4 linked regions of the Yarrowia lipolytica genome follow. The protein of the gene in region 1 purifies or fractionates together with the protein of each later gene. This does not show direct contact. Links are inferred from orthologs where the notes say so. Each region holds a gene or a part of one and is shown on either strand. Other genes may lie near its edges.

The links.
Region 2: the proteins of YALI1_F23109g (region 1) and YALI1_A03964g purify together in Saccharomyces cerevisiae (affinity purification with mass spectrometry; 4 studies listed by BioGRID, with this or other methods). This does not show direct contact. The link is inferred for Yarrowia lipolytica from reciprocal best matches to the Saccharomyces cerevisiae genes PUF6 and NOP13.
Region 3: the proteins of YALI1_F23109g (region 1) and YALI1_A01061g purify together in Saccharomyces cerevisiae (affinity purification with mass spectrometry; 3 studies listed by BioGRID, with this or other methods). This does not show direct contact. The link is inferred for Yarrowia lipolytica from reciprocal best matches to the Saccharomyces cerevisiae genes PUF6 and FUN12.
Region 4: the proteins of YALI1_F23109g (region 1) and YALI1_C05813g purify together in Saccharomyces cerevisiae (affinity purification with mass spectrometry; 3 studies listed by BioGRID, with this or other methods). This does not show direct contact. The link is inferred for Yarrowia lipolytica from reciprocal best matches to the Saccharomyces cerevisiae genes PUF6 and RRP17.

The regions. Positions count from the first base shown.
Region 1 is NC_090775.1:2,308,461-2,313,742, forward strand, and holds YALI1_F23109g (uncharacterized protein), read left to right. Parts: upstream 1-2,520; coding exon 2,521-4,482; downstream 4,483-5,282. Other genes in the region: YALI1_F23095g (uncharacterized protein), read left to right, coding at 1,077-1,571; YALI1_F23133g (uncharacterized protein), read left to right, coding at 4,881-5,282. UniProt on the Saccharomyces cerevisiae protein: RNA-binding protein involved in post-transcriptional regulation. Component of the ASH1 mRNP which transports the ASH1 mRNA to the distal tip of the bud, where the ASH1 protein is translated and targeted to the daughter cell nucleus.
Region 2 is NC_090770.1:394,363-398,422, forward strand, and holds YALI1_A03964g (uncharacterized protein), read right to left. Parts: upstream 2,066-4,060; coding exon 1,073-2,065; downstream 1-1,072. Other genes in the region: YALI1_A03937g (uncharacterized protein), read left to right, coding at 1-909.
Region 3 is NC_090770.1:102,060-108,361, reverse strand, and holds YALI1_A01061g (uncharacterized protein), read left to right. Parts: upstream 1-2,209; coding exon 2,210-5,350; downstream 5,351-6,302. Other genes in the region: YALI1_A01074g (uncharacterized protein), read right to left, coding at 350-608, 637-817, 865-931. UniProt on the Saccharomyces cerevisiae protein: Plays a role in translation initiation. Translational GTPase that catalyzes the joining of the 40S and 60S subunits to form the 80S initiation complex with the initiator methionine-tRNA in the P-site base paired to the start codon.
Region 4 is NC_090772.1:579,710-583,659, reverse strand, and holds YALI1_C05813g (uncharacterized protein), read left to right. Parts: upstream 1-2,261; coding exon 2,262-3,050; downstream 3,051-3,950. Other genes in the region: YALI1_C05837g (uncharacterized protein), read left to right, coding at 1-315; YALI1_C05820g (uncharacterized protein), read right to left, coding at 593-1,615; YALI1_C05789g (uncharacterized protein), read right to left, coding at 3,283-3,950. UniProt on the Saccharomyces cerevisiae protein: Essential protein involved in ribosomal RNA processing.

The sequences.
Region 1 (5,282 bases):
CCAGGATCGTTGATCTGTCGCAGACGACACACGTGAATGGAAATTAAAAAGCTTCCGATAACCAGCACCAAGCCACAACGCGTGGGCCGGAATTAGCGAAGTGAGTTAGCCGGTATATATCGGGTGGACTATGACGCATTTGGCACCACGTCTACTGTACAGGTACAGGTACGGTAAACACACGATAATTGCAGTTGTAATGAGACGGGTCACGAGTAGCTCAACATTGATCGTGCATCTCGGTTACAGTGTATGACAGCTGTGTACAGTCAGTAATAAGTCGTTGTTGGGGAATAGTCTGTCAGAAGTTTTCCCCATATTGTAGATATAGAAACGGCCGAAGGGGATTGGTGATCTATACACGGATCATAGGCACAGGCACTACTGTACAATGTAGGATAGAAGATGGAATATCTCGCACGGAGAGACCGACCTATCAAAAGAGAATACAACTGTTGTTGCAGAATGATGCGATGCAAACAAACACTCCCACAGATGCTACAGCATTTACTCTGCAGTCCTTGTCGGAACGACTATACGCAGTGTGCTGAGGTTCGCGATCTAATTATGTACGAGTACGAGTACGAGTACATACTGGTACGATAGATAGGGTGTCGTTTGGACTAGACTGTACCAGGAACATCGGCGTACGAGCAGTGGTTCCTGACATCAACAATCAGTACGGCACTTGTATTATATTTGAATGGCGGTGCTCTTACAACCGCCGTGTTTTTAGTATATATATAATATCTCGTTCGGTGCTGTCTTAAGTAATTACTGACTCTACTTGTAGGTTGGACCTACCCCTATAGCACGGGTCATAGGCAAGCTGAAGAGATAAAAAGTGGATTTTCCACCAGAAAAAACATCAACCGGAATCAATCTGTCTTATTATAGTGACACAAATACTATTTTATAGCCCTCTGCCACCACTTCCACCCTCCTATTACCCTGCTGAGAGGAACCGTCCTCAGAAATACAGTTACCCTGCTCACTGATTGGGACCTGATTTTTCTTGTGCATCTGGATCCGAACATTTCATTCCGCACCTCTCTTTGGATCCACTCCAGCATGCCATGAGTGCAACCAAACCAGCCGAAAACGGCAAGTATCGGGTGGCGACGCGCGGCATGGTGGACGAGGACGTGTACGATACCCGCAACCGCCACGTGGCCGCTCACCAACAGCACCTCCGGCTGCGACGCATCAAAAATGTGCTGGCCAAAAGAACTGCTATCTCTGAAATGGAGGCGGACGTCATCCAGGGCGAACTGGCCCGCGACTTGCGTCTCTTGGTGGAGGCAGGAGCCCTTGAGCTGCCAGACATTGGCGATGAGCACCAGCTGGAACAGCTGTTGCGAGACGAGTTACAGTCTCACGAATCGGTCCATGGAGCTGTCGATGGGCTCGTCGACGGCGATCTCGACGGAAACGTGGACGTAGTCATGGATCTGACCGACGACGAAGATGGCGCACTGGAAGACGAAGAAGAACGGATGATCCAGGAAGCCTTGGAACTGGAGGCCCGGGACATTGAGCATCTCGTCAACCAGATGAACCTCGATCATTAGTTATTTATATTTTTCCATCCTTCTCCCCATGAACGCCCTGTGCCTCGCTCAGCTTTCTACTCTTGGTTAGCTTCGAGCTGGATGCTCTCGGATCCTCAGAGATCCAAGTTGCAATGGGCAAGACCAACCCCTTTCACCTCATTTGAGTACGCCCTCAACTACCAGTGTTGTCCGGTGTAATTACCGGTGATTACATTTTATTTATAGAGTAACCAGAGCCCAGACATGGTCCGTGTGAATGTCAATGTTGTACAGCATTTAGTCGAGGGCACTTTTTTAGACGCTTCACAATATGATTGAAGGTCATTAGAACTAAAAAAAAAGAGTATCAGTTCTAAATACAAGTAACGATTGTCAGAGTAAGAGCTTTCGGTTGATATGAACACGACCTTACCGTGCCACTGCTATGGGTTGTTCGTCTGGGTAATCTGTCACCGGTACACTTGCATTCTGAGACTGGCAACAAAGGATACATGGCGAAGCTGACGAAAACAGTAACATATACGTATTGTACAAGTACACAAATGGCAAGCATTATAGAGAACAGCTACGATATGAAATATTCTTTGAATTTCGTGGCTATTTTACTCTTTCTATTGAGGTAATTTGATCAACTAAATATACTTTGTTTACTTAATACTATTGTTGGATAGCTGGTGTGTACAAGACACCCAGAATCAGACAAGAGAATAGTGCCTTAAAAGAGTTATTTAGTGACTTAAAAAAACATACATCTTGAAAAATGCCATATATAAGACAAGAACAACTTCCCCCTGTACATATATTTCCCCACATTCTGCCCAAGTGGCGTTAGAATCGCCTCGTTCGCTCACCACTGATACGGGTAAGGGTTCTAAAATTTTATGAAGCTTATTCGAAATTATTTTTGAAGTTTTTCAAACTCGCATATTCGGCCACAGACACAGCTATACACTACACATTACACACAATGGGTTCTGCTAAACGATCAGCTGACAGTCGAGAGAAGACGGTGTCCAAGAAGGTCAAACTGGTGGAGAAGTCCACTGGCAAGAAGGGCGCCAAGAAGGTGGTTGAGGAGGTCGAAGAGGCTTCTTCCGAGGAGGATTTTGCATCTACTGATGAGGAACAGGATCAGGAGGAGGACTCCGATGACTCCGATTCTGACGACATGGAGATGAGCGACAGCGACGAGGAGAAGGAGGAAGATGACGAAGAGGACGCTCTTGACGACGACGAGGAGGATGAGGAGACCAAGGAGGACGGAGAGGAGGCCCCTGCCGGCAAGTCTAGTGCTGCCGAGAGCCATGCTGAGCAGAAGCGCCTGTTGAAGGAACGAAAGCTTGCTCGATCTGGAGGAGAGAGTATCGCTCAGATCAAGCAGATTTGGGAGCGGCTCCGAATGAAGACTGGTGTCAAGCCTGCTGAGCGAAAGCAGCTGGTGGAGGATATCTGGGCCATTTCCAAGAACGATATCAAGAACTTGATTCTCAAGCACGACGCATCGCGAATTATCCAGACTCTGTTCAAGTACGCTGACAAGGAGAAGCGAGAGATCATCACAAAGGCGCTGAAGGGCAACTACTACGACCTGGCCATCTCGTCTTACGGAAAGTACCTGCTGGTCAAGATGCTGCATTACGGATCTGCTGCCGTTCGACAATCTATTATTGACGAGCTGCACGGCCGGTTCCGAAAGCTCATGCGTCATAAGGAGGGTGCCTATGTGCTGGAGGATGCCTACAGAGACTACAGCACTGCTGCTCAGAAGCGACAAATCATCCAAGAGTTTTTCGGTGCCGAGTTTGCCGTTTTCCGAGACGCTGCTGGCACAAAGACCCTTAAGGATATTATCGAGGACGCCCCCGAGAAGCGACCCATCATCATGCGAAACCTGAACGAAACTATCACTGCTGCTGTCAACAAGGGTTCCATTGGTTTCACCGTCATTCATGCTGCCATGCTTGAGTACGTCAGCAACCTTGACACCAACAACTCGGAGAAGACCGAATTCATCGATCTGATTGGCGAGCAGTTTGCAGAGATGGTGCATACTAACGAGGGATCGCAGGTGGCTTGCAAGACTCTGGCCATGGCTTCTGCCAAGGAGAAGAAGGGTCTTCTCAAGTCGCTCAAGAGCTTTGCCGACACCCTGGCTGCTGATCAGTACGGACACATGGTCATGATGACTGCTTTTGACACCATTGACGATACCAAGAGTGTTGTTAAGGCCTTTTCTGGTGAGCTCTCCGAGAAGCCCGTGCATGAGCTGTTCATGGACAAGAACGGTCGACGACCCTTCCTGTATGCCATGCTAGGCCGAGACTCTCGATACTTCAACAAGCTGGTTCTGGATCAGCTCAAGCAGTACGATGAGATGAAGACCGCAACTGGTACTGCCAAGAAGGATGATGCTCTTCGACTGGAGGAGATCAACAAGGGAATGTCCCCTCTGATTCTCGAGGCCATTGCCAACAACGCTTACGAGCTCATGAACGACACCCTGGGTTCTCAGTTCATTTCTGAGGCTCTTCTGTCGTGTGACGGTGACAAGTCTGAGGCTATCGCTGCTCTTATGGAGGTTCTGTCTGCCGATCCCGCCGGTGACAACCACGTCATCAAGCAGCCCAACGCTCAGCGAGCTCTGCGAACCCTCATTCAACAGGGACATTGGAACAACAAGGAGAAGAAGGTAGTCAAGGTCGAGACTCCCATCGACTTCGGTGCCAAGTTCTACGATGCAATTGGGGATCACGTTGTCGCATGGGCCACTGGAGACGGTGCTTTTGTCATTGTGACTCTGTTGGAGAACCTGGAGGACGATAAGCTGAAGAAGGAGCTCAAAAAGACTCTCAAGGACAGTAAGAAGGAGATTGCTGCTGCTGCCGAGGATGGAAACAAGGGTTCCAAGCTCATTGTTGACCTGCTTTAAGCGAAAACACGTTGTATAAAGATATATTTGGTAATAGAGGTATGATAGGATAAGTTGAGGATACTGTTTTACTACAAGTAAAGAGTTGTTTGCCACTCGCGTACAAGTGCATACGATAGAGAGGGATGCTTTGATATATACATATATATTTTTTTTGGAAAGATCAATCCATAGATCAGAAATGTTGAGAATTTCCAAATGAAATAGAAGGAGATCGAAAAGGAAGTATTAACAAGTTACCAAGGTATGGCATATTTAATAGTTGGAAAATAAATAAATAAAAATAACTAAAAAAAATAAAAAATCAAACCAAAAACCAACACAAACAATACTACAAGTAGTCTCGGTGGTAGTCACACCAAATACCCATCTAAGCATTTTCCTTGATACTCGCTTCTATGCATGGCAAAACTCTATATCAAAAAAATCCCAAATTATTCTTCACGGTGCAGGGAAAGATATCACCACTTCTTCACAACACCTTTGACAAAATGGTACGACAGTTCAAGCACCACGAGGGCAAGCTGCTCAAGAAGGTCGACTTTGTCAACTGGAAGACAGATAATGGCCACCGTGAACAGCAGGTGATGGGCACCTTCCATCTGCAGGACCGAGACGACTACAACAAGTACAACAAAATCTGCGGTAAGATCCGACAATTAGCATACAAGCTATCTCAGCTCCAACCGGACGACCCTGTTCGAATCAAGCACGAAAAGCTGCTTCTCGACAAACTCTACCAGATGGGCATTCTTTCCACTAACACCACCGTTTCGCATCTGGAGACCAAGATATCTGTG
Region 2 (4,060 bases), on another chromosome or scaffold:
ACCGCCAGACTCGTAATGGTGCTGCAGGACAGTGTTGAGAGCAGCACCCGAGCAACAGGCAGCCAGACCCAGAAAGCTACGGAAAATTTTGGTGACCAGAATAGCCAGAAGGCAAACAAAGCGACTCGGACTAATAAAACGATTGGTGTTAAGGCATGCTTCTTGTGCAACCAAACAGGTCACTTGGTCAGGGATTGTCCCCAGTACCAGGCGAAATTCTGCTTGCACTGTCGCACTAACGATCACTCGACTGCCGATTGTCTATTCAAATATGGACCCAACCGCAAAAGAGACAAAAAAGTACCCATCTGTTACAAGTGCAGTGAGAGTGGTCATATTGCCAGAGACTGCACTTATTCTCCGTTTGGTATAACCTATGTGCGTGGTCAGTCAACCGCTGGCAGGTCGTCGTGCTCGCCTCCTAAGGCAGCTGTTGAAAAGGGAAGCGATACGAGTTATGCCGAAAGTTCGGGCTCACTTGAGGGAGCTATCGAAACAGCAAGCGATGCTGACCGCCAAGCTCAAAGTGATGGTGATGATAAGCTCTCTGAAATGCTGGGATATGGTCATGGAACTGACTACTCCCCACCGTCTCCCATTACAAAGTGTTTTCGTTGCAGGGAATTTGGCCACTTGACTCAAGAGTGCACTGCCCCTCTGGAAATGTCGCATATCGAATACACATCGAAGGACAAGTGCCTCAGGTGCAAGAAGAGAGGTCACAGAGATATAGACTGTCCGGAACCAAATACAGCAGAGACCGAATCCCTCGAGGCTGAGACCCATGAGACTAATTCTGTGGCTTCTGCGGACTCTGTGGAACCTGTGGACCTCATTGAAAATCAGCCGGTTGAAATATCTCAAGGAGAGGTTCATTCCACCGAAGACCTGGGGTTTGCATCGGAGTAACCGTTCATTTGACAAAACATTGTGTGGTTCGGGTAATGTGTACAAGTGGTACATATGGTACATAATACATACATACTTAGGTCATTCAAACATGCGATTTTATTCCAGTCTATAAGTACATTTCCGTGTGTAAGCACCGTTAGTGGCTGTTCATCCCCTTTGCTTAGTCAAAAGTCATCTTCTTACCAGTGCTTTTGACGATACCCACAGAGGCTCTCTGGGCACTGGCCAGGACCTGTCCAGGCTTCTTTCGCGAGTAAGGTCGGTCCTCCTTGCTTCTCTTAGGCTTATCGTATGACTCCTTGTTCTCGGTGTATGCAGGCTTATCCTCAACCTGGGCAGGCTCTGAGTACTCCTTCTGTGCGGACTGACTCTCGTCAGCGACAGCACCCTCGACCTTTCGAGGCTTGGGCACTCGCTTACTTCGGTCTTCTCCGGCCTCGAGACGCAGAGTTCGACCCTCGAGGTACTTGTACAATCGTCCCTTAAGAGCTTTTCGAGTAGCGTCGGCGTCGTAAAAGTCCACAAAAGAGAAGCCCTTTGACTTGCCGGTATCTTCAAAAGACATCATTCGAACCCGTCGAATATCTCCGCAGGACTTGAAGTGGTCCTGCAGCATCTCCTCGGTTGCGTTGAAAGGCAGGTTTCCAACAAACAGCACCCGTGAGTCTGTGTCTGTAGGGTCCTTCTTCTCGGGCCGTCCCTCGAACGAGTTTGCGTTCTTGATAAGAAGTTTTCGGCCGTTAAGGATCTGCTCTGACAGGGAGACCAGTCGCTCCATCTTCTCGGCGGTGGGGACGTCAACGTAGGCGAAACCCTTCACCTTCTTGGTAACCTTGGACTTGGGCAGGTTAATTCGAAGCAAATCGTCCTCCTCAATCACCACCGCGTCGGAGTCCTCTTCAGATTTACCCAGCTTAGCCAGAATGAACCGCTTGATATCCTCCTTGCAAGTGTCGAACGACAGATTGCCAATCCACACTCCATGTTCGGACTTTTTGGACTTGCCCTCCTCCTCATCATCGGCCTTCTCGACAGGCAGCTTTCCCTTCTTTTCGAGACGCTTCTGTTTCTTGGACAGAGGAGCGGACTTTTCCAAGTCGATCTCAATTTCCTCCTCGATCTTTCGCTTGACGGTCACCTCGGAATCACTCATGTTGTGGTGGTAGCTGAATTTTGTCTCGAGGCTGAATTTTTTTCAGATAATGCAGGCCGCCAATAGAGTTTGAGGGTGGTCGATTTTTTTATTAATGAGTTGAAAATACGTCCCAACTATGATGCGAACTCGGGTGCATTGGAATTATTCAAGGTGGAGAGGTGACAACGGTAAAGAACATCCCAAGTATTATTGATTAAATATAGTTAATTTACCGACTTACAACTCACCTAAGGCGGCGCCGGCTATCCTCACCCTGCCCAGACCAATTTCTGGCCTTTCTGCTTTCAGATGCTTCTTCCCTTGTAACACACTCTTCTTACTATTTGTCACTGCCTCATACAGACCTTCACCTTTCTTCACCTTGCGTTTTCCCATCTATTGGGTGAAGTCGTCATTATAGTATCACAAAGCGATTGCTGACCTCCTTATCAAAGAAAACGCCTGTCTTCTTTGGGGTTTCCTCCGACACCATTCTCAAAGAAAACATCACTATGTTCACAACAGAGATGAGTGTCTTTTAAAGAATCTTGGTAACTGGTAAATCGAAAGAACCTTCGAAATGGCAATGCCCAACGGGAGATAGTGCATCGGCTAAAGAGGGATTCAAACACTTGCAATGCCAGCTTGTGCTTCAGAGTTCTGCGGCTGCGTATGGTGGCTGAATTGGTGACTGACTTGGTGGCTGATTGTGTGGCTCTCGCTGATCTCAATTGTCACGATGGCAACTGTTGATCTCACTGATGAGGTTACCAATAGTAATCCAAGTTGTTGATGGACCCTGCGGACGTGGGACACTGCTGAGGATGTGCGAAAATGTGTCGTGTACGTATCATTTTCTTGCACTTCTGGCACTTGTAATATTTGACGGGGATGTATGACATGATGTGATCGGAGTGAACGTTGGATGGCGTAGCTTGCTGGCGCTACAAGGATAACCGCCCTCTATATATGTCCGTCCTGTTAATCACATACCCAGGTCATGACTCGATCTGTTTCATCGGACAAACGAAATGGGGATTATTTCAGAAGGAACAATGAGGCTTGCACTCATGTGCATATCAACACTTGATGAACGCAATAAAGTGCATATTGGCACTTGCTGTAAGTGCTAATCATGCGAAGATGAGGATGACCTGCTTGTAGGCTACGATACGATACCTGTATCGTAGCCTCTGGGACTCATTTACAGTGACATGAGCTCGATGGGAGGCTCAAATACCCAGTTCATGTGGCAATAATTTGCTAGGTCCACTTTTGTTCCACACATAATAAAGCATGTTCGAGAGAGTGTATTATTATCAAGATACATCACTGTCGGCAAAGTCTTCGTCTCCCCGTCTGATACAAACTCGTGTCTTAAAAGGAGAGATAACTTCTGGATGCGGCTTGAGATGAGCAGGAATCGCGACTTGCATGAGCAGGAATGGGGCACAGTACGAGCACTGTTCTAGGACAAGTGTTGTTTTGCCGATACATTATAATCGTACATCAGCAGGATTTCATTTCTAGACTGTGAGAAAAATTACGATGCTGTGAGAAACACTACGATATTGTGAATCGGTGTCTTGCTATGTCGACAGTGTTATTTCTGATACATCACGTACTCTTTGTACATTGTTTGGGTCACCGGGAAGGTCATAACAGCATTTGGTTTTGGGGCAAAGTCGTCAGCGTCAGAACGAGGTTTGGGATTCGATTTACTTGAAGTGTTCTATCGTACAACTACAACATACAAGCGTCTGGTTGGGCAATTTGATGTGATACGGCTATTGTAAAAAATGCTCGATTTTTACTACACCTTTTCTACGGAGGTTCCTGTCGTTACGGTTGACGGAGAAAGAGTGGCCGAGAATTTGGGCTGTTTGAGACCGCCGAGCATGCCAATCCGGTTCGCTTTGAGTCTCCCTGTTCCACAGGAGCTTTGCCCTAACCTGTGATATCTGCATTGGTTCAAGGTGTCGGTGTGGCAAAGGAAGTGGTGGTCAACATCGG
Region 3 (6,302 bases), on another chromosome or scaffold:
CTTCGCCTGTGTCGTGATCAAAACGGTGATTTTCCTGATAACTGTGGCCGAGAAAACCGCAGAGAAGAAAAACGCCATCTTCCATAAGAAGGTCGATAATAGCATTCTTCGAATACTCCATTGCGCGAAAGTTTTTCTTGTAAGCGGCGTTACCATTGTTCAGTTGAACCAGGCCTGGTCACAGCTCGCAACTGAATCCGGTTTAGCTGACTCCTGTCGCCAATCAGAATATATATCATAGATTGTAGCTCGAGTAGTCTCAAAGTCGCAGGTTGGTCAGCATTTGATCTCGTCTTTTCATGGTGGGTTCGAGTTTGAAGTTGGCCAACATGCGCCTGTTGAGATCACTCTAGAACTCAGGTCCTTCTCTCGCAAAGGTGGACTCCTCCTCGACTTTAACCATAGCATTGACCCACTCCATGAACCTGGAGTTGTCGGCGTCTCCAGGCAGATAGACAATGTCTGTATGACAGACCAGCTTCCTATAAATGTCGTAGGCAGTCGTGGATTCCTTCAGGTGTCGGATGTCCTCCAAAATAGTCGACCAGTCGAGATGCGTAGGCATAGTAGAAGAGTCGGCAAAGTCCATCAGTCCCCATCGGTATTTGCTCGTAAGTCGTCGACTTCATGAGGCACGAAAAAATGAGGTTCTTGATAACGGGATCCTGCATGATATAGTTCACGATAACATGGGGAGGGTTGGTGTAGTCTAGATCCGCATCCTTATCACCGTTGTTGTCGAAGATGTGGTCCTTGAGGTCGCCAATGGCGTCAAAGTTGTCCCAGTACTTGGCCACGTTCAGATTCTTAATGTATCCTGCCCATAGTAGTTGATAACTCCCTGGATCTTGTCTTCGCTGGCACCGGGAAACTTCTCCACGAGAACAAGGACCGGAATATGGGTGTATGCAAGTTCAAGGGCATGATTCATGGCCTCGTACTCCTGCGCGGTAGAGTATGACTTGCCCGAGATCCAATAATGACGTAATTGAAACCGGCTGAGACCGAGGAGGGTACTCAGATCTCAAGTAAAGTCGTCGGGCAAGGTGAGAGTTGGTGAAGTTCTAGTAGCCCCATCGGTGCTTCATTTCTTCATTCAGACGACGATTGGGGTTTCATGGGACATGGAGCAGAGCAGTCCAGACTCTCGGATAGTGCGGGGGGTTCTGGACACTGTAGTTCCGGACATTGATAGTGCGGTCAACAACTGGAGTCTCTAGGCGACCATCCGTGACAATATCACTTCACCAGAGAAGCTGTGAATGGTAGCGAGAGTGAATGGTAGCGAGAGTGAATGGTAGCGAGACTGTTTCATTTGTGGAGACTGGCAACCAACTCGCTGGTTTCCTCACAATGCCACTTGTTTGGACTACTCTCAATACTACTCTCTTAAAGATTAAGATGAAGGTGAAGACTAACTGCAAGAAGTACTGCAACAGTATGTACATTATTTTAGTCCGATGCCCCATCTTTTTTTTTTTTATATTTTTATTTAATTATATATATATTAATATTTTATCTTATTTTTATTTTTTTTTTTTTATATTTTATTTTTATTTTTATTTTTATTTTTATTTTTTTTTTTTTTTTTTTTTATTTTTTTATTTTTATTTTTATTTTTTTTATTTTTATTTTTATTTTTATTTTTTTTATTTTATTTTTTTTTTATTTTATTTTTATTTTTATTTTTATTTTTTTTTTTATTTCTAATTCTAGGGGGAAATACAAACACAGGCTACAGAGGCCTAAAAAAAAATATGAACCCCCATATCGGACTCGGATCCAGGTATTCAGAAGAGCGCAAGACAATGCTCGCACCCATCCAGACCAACTATATGGTATCTACCACAGAATCGAACCCACAACCGCGTTCGATCTGTGAAAAATTTTGAAGGAAACTTTAGTTTGGCGCAATGATGATGCTGCAAGGAAATCGTAGATATGGCCTAGATTGATATGTTTGAGAAGTGGATTGCGGTAGTTCGACAAAGCCGAGCCAGAGTTATGTGAAACCTAAGAAACAAACAAAAAAATCTCATATCGGGGATTTGCCACATTTCCACCGGTCCTTTTCCCTTTTTTTTCCCGCTCTTTGAGGGCAATCAGTGTCTTCTTGTAACAAGGTTTGGATCACGTGATTTCTCACTTTTTCACCCATGTAGTTACACATCTCAACCTGAATACCTGACCATTTTCACGACACGACAAGATGGCGAAGAAAGGAAAGAAGCAACAAAGCTACGGCGACTGGAGCGACAGTGAGGAGGAGAGCATGGACACGACTCCCCAGAACCTCGACGGGACCCCTGCTGTGGAGGACAAGGCTGCTGGGGCTGCTGATGTGCCCAAGGGCGATGAGAGCGCCTCTGCGACCCCCGAGCCCACCCCTGCCGCTCCCGAGGAGGCCACTATGGACGATCTTGCCGACGAATTCGAGGGCGGAGGACTGATGGGAGCGCTGCGAAAGTCCAAGAAGAAGAAGGACGCGCGAGACGCCAAGGACGCAAAGGCCGAGCCCGAGGAGGCTCCTGTGATTCTGACCAAGAAGCAGAAGGACAAGCTCAAGAAGGAGCAGGAGAAGGCCAAGAAGAAGGCTGCTGCCGACGCACGAAAGGCCGCTGCCGACGCAAAGGCTGCTGATAAGAAGGCCAAGGGAGAGGACAAGAAGGAGGACAAGAAGGAGGACAAGAAGGTCGAGTCCAAGTCTCCTGAGCCCGAGGCCGCCCCCGCCGCCCCCGCCAAGAAGCTGACTGGCCGAGCTGCTGCTATTGCCAAGATCAAGGCCCAGCAGGATGCCATCAAGGCCCAGGAAGCCGCTATGGCTGCTGCCGAGGAGGAGGAGCGAGCTGCCGAGGAGGCTGCCCAGCGAGCTGTTGAGGAGGCCGAGAAGGAGAAGGAGGCTGCACGGCTCGCCAAGAAGGAGCGAGAACGACAGAAGGTCGAGCGACAGAAGGCTGAGGGTACTTATATGACCAAGAAGCAGAAGCAGGAGCGAGCTGCCGCCGAGGCTCGACGAGAGCAGATGCTGGCTGCCGGAATGATTGTTGGCGGTGGACGAGCACCCGCCAAGCAGACCAACAACAGACTGCCCACCAGAACTCCTGCCCAGAAGCAGCCCAAGGTTGAGGACAAGGTTGTTGAGAAGCCCAAGGAGGTCAAGAAGGAGGCCGAGTCTCCCGAGGAGGACGATGTTGACGCCCTTATGGACGACTGGGAGACTGCCCTGGACTCTGACGGAGAAGTCAAGGACGACTGGGAGGCCATGGCCGACGAGAATGGCGAGATTGAAATCACCAAGAAGGAAGACCCCTCCATCAAGGCCAAGGAGGAGGCTGAGGCTGCTGCCAAGGAAGCTGAGGCCCAGGCTGCCGCTCTGGCCCGTCAGAAGGCTGCTGATGAGGGCACCCAGCTCAACGACGAGACCGAGCTGGAGCGACAGCGAGTTGCTGCCGAGGAGGCTCTTGAAGAGGCCCGACGAAAGTCTGCTGCCATTGCCGAGAAGCGTGCCGCCAAGCACTCGCGAGCCATTGCATCTGCCAATGCCGGAAACCTGCGATCTCCCATTTGTTGTATTCTGGGCCACGTCGATACCGGTAAGACCAAGCTTCTGGACAAGGTGCGACAAACCAACGTGCAGGAGGGCGAGGCTGGAGGTATTACTCAGCAGATTGGTGCCACCTACTTCCCTATCGAGGCCATCAAAAAGAAGACGGAGGTCATGGAGCAGTACGGCGAGATTGACTACCACGTGCCTGGTCTGCTGGTGATCGATACCCCCGGTCACGAGTCTTTCACCAACCTGCGATCCCGAGGTTCGTCGCTGTGTAACATTGCCATCCTGGTGATTGATATCATGCACGGCCTCGAGCCCCAGACCATTGAGTCCATCAAGCTGCTGCGAGACAAGAAGACGCCCTTCGTGGTCGCTCTCAACAAGATTGATCGACTCTTCGACTGGGAGGCCATCCCCAACAACTCGTTCCGAGATTCGCTCTCCAAGCAGAAGAAGTCTGTGCTGCGGGAGTTTGAGGACCGACTCGAGAAGACCAAGACCGCTCTTATGGAGCAGGGTCTCAACTCTGAGGTCTACTACAAGAACAAGAACCTGGCCAAGAATGTGTCTCTGGTCCCCACCTCCGCCATCACCGGCGAGGGTATTCCCGATCTGCTCGCTCTTCTGCTGCAGCTGACTCAGAGCCGAATGTCCAAGCAGCTCATGTACCTGTCTGAGCTCGAGGCCACCGTTCTGGAAGTCAAGGTTGTCGAAGGTTTCGGAACCACCATCGATGTTGTTCTGTCCAACGGTGTCTTGCGCGAGGGTGACCGAGTCGTGCTTTGCGGTCAAAACGGCCCCATTGCCACCAACGTCAGAGCTCTACTCACTCCCCAGCCGCTCAGAGAGCTGCGAATCAAGTCTGCTTACCAGCACCACAAGGAGGTCAAGGCTGCTCTCGGTGTCAAGATTGCCGCCAACGACCTGGACAAGGCCGTGGCTGGTTCTCGTCTGCTGCTTGTGGGTCCTGATGATGATGAGGAGGAACTCATGGACGATGTCATGGACGATCTTACCGGCCTCCTTGACTCCGTTGACAAGTCTGGACGTGGTGTGTGTGTCCAGGCTTCCACTCTTGGTTCCCTGGAGGCTCTTCTCGACTTCCTCAAGGATATGAAGATCCCCGTCATGTCCATTGCTCTAGGTCCCGTCTACAAAAAGGATGTGATGCGAGCCACCACCATGCTGGAGAAGGACAAGTCGCTGGCCATCATGCTGTGTTTCGACGTCAAGATCGACAAGGACGCCGAGCGATATGCTGACGAGCAGGGTGTCAAGCTTTTCTCGGCTGATATTATCTACCATCTGTTTGACGACTTTGTCAAGCACCAGAAGAAGCTGCAGGAGCAGAAGCGACTGGACACCATCGACAAGGCCGTTTTCCCTTGTGTTCTGCACACTGTCCAGATCATCAACAAGCGATCGCCCATGATCATTGGTGTCGACGTTGTTGAGGGCTCTCTGCGAATTGGAACCCCCATCTGTGCCGTTAAGACCAACCCCGAGACCGGTGCACGAGAGGTGCTCGAGCTCGGTAAGGTGACTTCCATGGAGGTGAACCACAAGTCCGAATCTGTTGTTCGAAAGGGCCAGACCAACGCTGGTGTGGCTATGCGAATCGATACTTCTTCCGGACAGCCTACTTGGGGCCGACACATTGACGAGAAGGATGTTCTGTACTCGTCCATCACCCGAAAGTCCATTGATACTCTCAAGGACCCCGTTTTCCGAAACGACGTGCCCCGAGAGGACTGGCTGTTGCTCAGAAACCTCAAGACTACTTTTGGAATCAAATAAGGGATCTCGGAGATTAGGAGATCAGGAGCGGACAACATCAAGCCACTGTTATAAATGGCCTGGTACGTTGTTATTGCTCTGACTATTGTGTAAGATGTACGTAAATGAAAATTGATATTGCTGATTGAAGTGAGTTGATACTGTAGGCCGCTTCAAGAGGTTTGGACGGTTGTACGTAATATACACTGATTCCCGTAAGAGCCGATCTGGTCGCAGTAGACATATGGCTGCGTGATAGTGTAACTTGATGTCTTTAGATAAATTCTCTGGCATTTGGACTCTGTATATCATTTGACACTTTTTCAACTGCATTTTTTTTCCGCATTTTTTTCCGCATTTTTTTCCGCATTTTTTTTTTTTCTTACGATACATATATTCCCAACTAAACCCAACTAAAGCCTACTACTGTATGTTCACTGAAGTAGCAAGGTAGCAAGTACAGACACTGTAGTCAGAACTATGTGAGATACAGCCTGGAGCGATTAACTGCCGTACAATCATCACTTGCCCAACCGCCTTCTATAAATGTACTTTTCCTAGGTCTTTAAAGTGGTAGAGGAGAAACCCAGCTTCACGTGTAGTTATAGCTGTACCGCAGACAAAGTCACGATGGAACATGTCGTAACGTGGGTACTTGGTGTTCATTGGCATTAGACGAGCTTCAATGATTGTAGCGTATTGTGGTATGGGGGGTTTCAGATGGTTCGAGAGGCGGGTGATTGTCACATGTTATATTTTTTTAGAGAACTTGGATATTCGTCAGATGTATATCGTCAGATGTATATCCGTCAGATGTTGATCCAAACAAGTTGCTCACACCCTTACATCCTCTTCGGACACCTGGTCAACCGGTGGTTTCTCCTTTCGATACTCAAGACCAACGTCTGGCAAGCGGGGCATCGGAGGAACTCGAGGAACGGCGGAGCCGGCTGTGGAAGAGTCACGAACCGCG
Region 4 (3,950 bases), on another chromosome or scaffold:
GCGTCATTGGAGGCCTTCGAAAGTCATTACTCAACCAGCCATACTTGGACATGCACCACTTGTCAGGCCAGGTTTCCGAGCGAAAAATTTCTGAATCTGCATCTGGACGAAGAACACGACCCGTTCGTAGCGATATCACGTGACCGCGGCGACAAATATCTTGCATGTTTTGAGGAGGGCTGTGATAAACGGTTTGCAGAGTACAGGAAGAGGAGGATGCATCTGGTTGACAAGCATGGGTATCCGAAGAACTTCAGGTTTGGACTGGTGACAAAAGGACTGAAGGAGGGTGAGGTTTCGCTTTTGAAGCAGTGATGAGTCGAGGATGAGCAACTCAGGGCTAGACGGGTGGTTGTGAGTTTTTGGTTTCCAAACTCACAATGGGCACGTCTGAGGGGGATATCGCAAGCAGTGCTGTAGAGACGACGAGATCGACACAGCGCCAATAACTTTACATGTATACACATTCAACTGCCGATTCTGGCCACATACACTAACCATTCATCAAGGGTTATACAAATACATTGCATTATGTTTACATCTATGCTATATGAACCGCACTGGTTCATGTTAGGGATCGGTCTAATAGCAACTATGGCTTAACGACCTTCTTTTTCTTCTTCTTGAGAGGTTTTCGACCCAAACCAGCCAAAGTCTTCTCAGAGTAGGTAGTATCGCATGTAGGACATCTTCTGTTGCTGGGAATCTGGCTCATGATACACAGACAGACAGAGCAGACATAGCCAATATCCACCACCTGTTTAGTCAGGAAACATGCTGCTCGAAAGTCCACATTGGACTGGGTGGGCAGCACAATATGGGGTCGTAAACTGGGGTCTGAGATAAAGCCCGATAGCAGATACTGAACCAAACCCTTGGGTGTTTTGGAGTTCTTTTCACTGATATCCATGTAGATGCCGTGTGTCGAGTCGCATGCTTGTTGCAGAAAGACCTGGTCGGATCCAGGACCCAGTTTGCACACATCGACGGGGATCTTGAGCTTTTGGGCGGCGAAAATGCAGTTCATAGTAGGGATGTATTGGATGGTTTCGTTTTTGTGTCCGACGGTGAGCAGCAGGATCCTTGCTCGCATTCTCGACTCGTCCACAAACACATGTTTGTTTATGAACCCTAGAGCTAGACTCAGTGCTCCGGAGATGGCCGAGTTGTGTTGTTTCTCCTCCTCCACGTAGTTGGTGTGGTTCAGCATGTTCCACAGCTCCGTCTGCACAACCTCGTCCACCGTCTTGAATTGTCTGTACATGGAGTGGTCCTTCTTGCTGGGTGCCTGTTCTCCATCGCTTACACTCTCCGATCTCTCTTCTCTCTCCTTTGATCTAGTCGATTCAACGCCGCTTTTAGGAGGATACAAAATTCGAGCACCACTGGCGTTGTATCCAATCACATTAACGCTGTTGGAGTTGTGCAGAGCCAAGTGGGCGTTGATGAAGACGAGAATGGAAGCCACAGCCTCCGAGATGGATATTTGCGACTTGATTTCTTCCCACGACGGCACATGGGCGTCAATGATGATCGACAACAACGACGGCGTGTCGTCCAGAGTCTGATCCTCCGTGTCCTTGAGCTGGCGGGACGTTCCATCAATGGCGTTCATGGTGGTGGAGGAAGGCTTCGGTGTCTGAAAAGTAGATGTTAGATAGAGGATTTGAGTTTGCTGATTTGAATGAGCTGCGAAAGTACCAGTACAATCCTGTCTTGTACTTGTACGAGTGTACAGTTCTTTTTACACGTGTATAGGGGTGGGTACATATTGATGTGATCATGTGATATAATTAGTTGATACTGTACTGTGAGTGGGATTACTTATCCAGTTCCTTTCTTCTCGGTCTCCATCAAAGCTTAGTCATGTCATATTTCAGTGGTCAGCCAGCCTGAACTTACCTCCCTACAATATCGTGCCAGTAGAGTGAATCGAACTCACGCCACTGCCCATACAATTGTAACATGTCGCTCTATCACACTCAGGGTTCGTATTTGAAGCTGTTATGCATCACTGATCGGTTCGAAACTCGGCCCGGATCTTCAATCCATGGTCCAAAGTGCTCAGAATGTCCCGGCTTCCACTTCCGCTTCCTCATTCTTCTTTTCATTTCATACACCCCGTCTACAAGTAGTGCCTTCCTCATAACAGAGTTCGAGTCTCATGCAGGTCTAAACCTCCACTGATATTTTTCATTTAAGCGTTCACCTCATTTTCGAGTTTTGGCCTGACCCCTATATACCCCAAGACACTCCCCAAAATGGCCGCCACCAACAGACAGATCTTGACGCAGGGCGACCGGTCATACGCCAAGAAAAAAACTAGCCAGTTTGGCGTGGATGAGGTCTCCTACGACGCCGCCAACCGGAAGGAGTACCTGACGGGCTTCCGAAAGCGAAAGCTGCAACGAAAGGAAAAGGCGCAAGAGAAGGCCAAGGAGCAGGCGCGGCTGGACCGGATCGCCGAGCGGAAAAAATTGCGAGACGAAAGAAAAGGTGACCAGGAAAAGGAGCGAGCTCGAATGCAGAAGGCCATGAAGGATATCGAGAGAGCTCGATCGGGCTATTTCAGCACTGACGACGAGAAGGATTCTGATTCTGGCGACGAGTCTGAGGATGAAGAGGAGGACGAAGAGGAGGACGAAGAGAAGACTTTAAAGAAGTCGAAAAAGTCGTCTAGCACTGATGAAGACGACTTCTCCGACTGGGAGGGTATCGATAAGCCCGGAGTGCTCAAGAAGCAAAAGAAGAAGTACGTGGACGGTCAGGGAAAGAAAACCACGGTGACCATTGAGGCCGTGTCCCTTGATTCCGATGATGAGGACCAGAACAACACATATGTGGACATGTCCAAGGCTGACGAGGTCTTGAAGGAAAGCTTGGACAAGGCTGGTCTGGCCGCTGTCTACTCCGGCATGGCTGAGCCCAAGGTCAAGAAGCTGGTCAAGAAGACCAAGAAGAAGTTCCGATACCTGTCTTCCACTGAACGAAAGAAGAACCTGGACAAGGAGCGAGCTCGAGCCAAGGCCAAGCGAACCAAGAAGGAGTAGGACACGTTGGACCGTACTGGTAGATAGTTTATTGCATGCATGTATTATAGGATAGCCAGGAATAGGGCGTAGATATGGTTGGAGTGAGTTGTAACGAGTTTCAGTGTGTTGCGTGTGATATGAATTCAACACCGAAGTGCGAACTTACTACGTATATATCTACAGTACATACTGTACTATTATCAGATCATTAGCCGTTACTCCTGGATAAATAAAATGCTCGAATACTTCTTTACAGCATATACACAAACTCCTTCTGGGTCTCACTGATGGTCGCATGATTTGTTCCACTGATGCGTCGTCGTTTCAGAAAGAAGACAATACCCAGAGTACCAAATACCGAAGCGATCATGAACCCCATGTTGATCCAACATCCCCGTTTGAAGAGTGGACCATCTGTTGAGGTGAAGACTCTCAGGACCAGTACTCCATACCAGCAGCTCACAGACGAGAAAATGGCGAAGGACATGAGTCGCTTGTTTCTGCCCTGAACATTACTCCCCAGCCATCCACAAAGAGAAGCAAAGGCAGCAGTTGCATTAGGAATCGTGAACCAGCCCCCTCCGAATTTGATCCACCAGTTGTGTTCTGAAGGCTTGCACAGAATAAGTGCCCATCCAATGATGCAGAAGAGATAATTCATGAGCAGAAACGGGGACAAAACTTTTTTCTGGGCAACCAAATACCCCTGAAAACTTGACCAAATGACACCAAACACGAGAATAGTCCATATGATCAACTGTCCCAAGGCTGCGGTATACTCCAACTCTTCAAAAGTCGCACTTTGAACCTGTGCATAGCATGACACCAAACAGGAGTATGTAAAGAAGCCAAGGATGGAGATAAACCAAACCAAGGGATCTTTTGCAGCGGAAATCAGACCTTCTAGAGGTGTCTCGG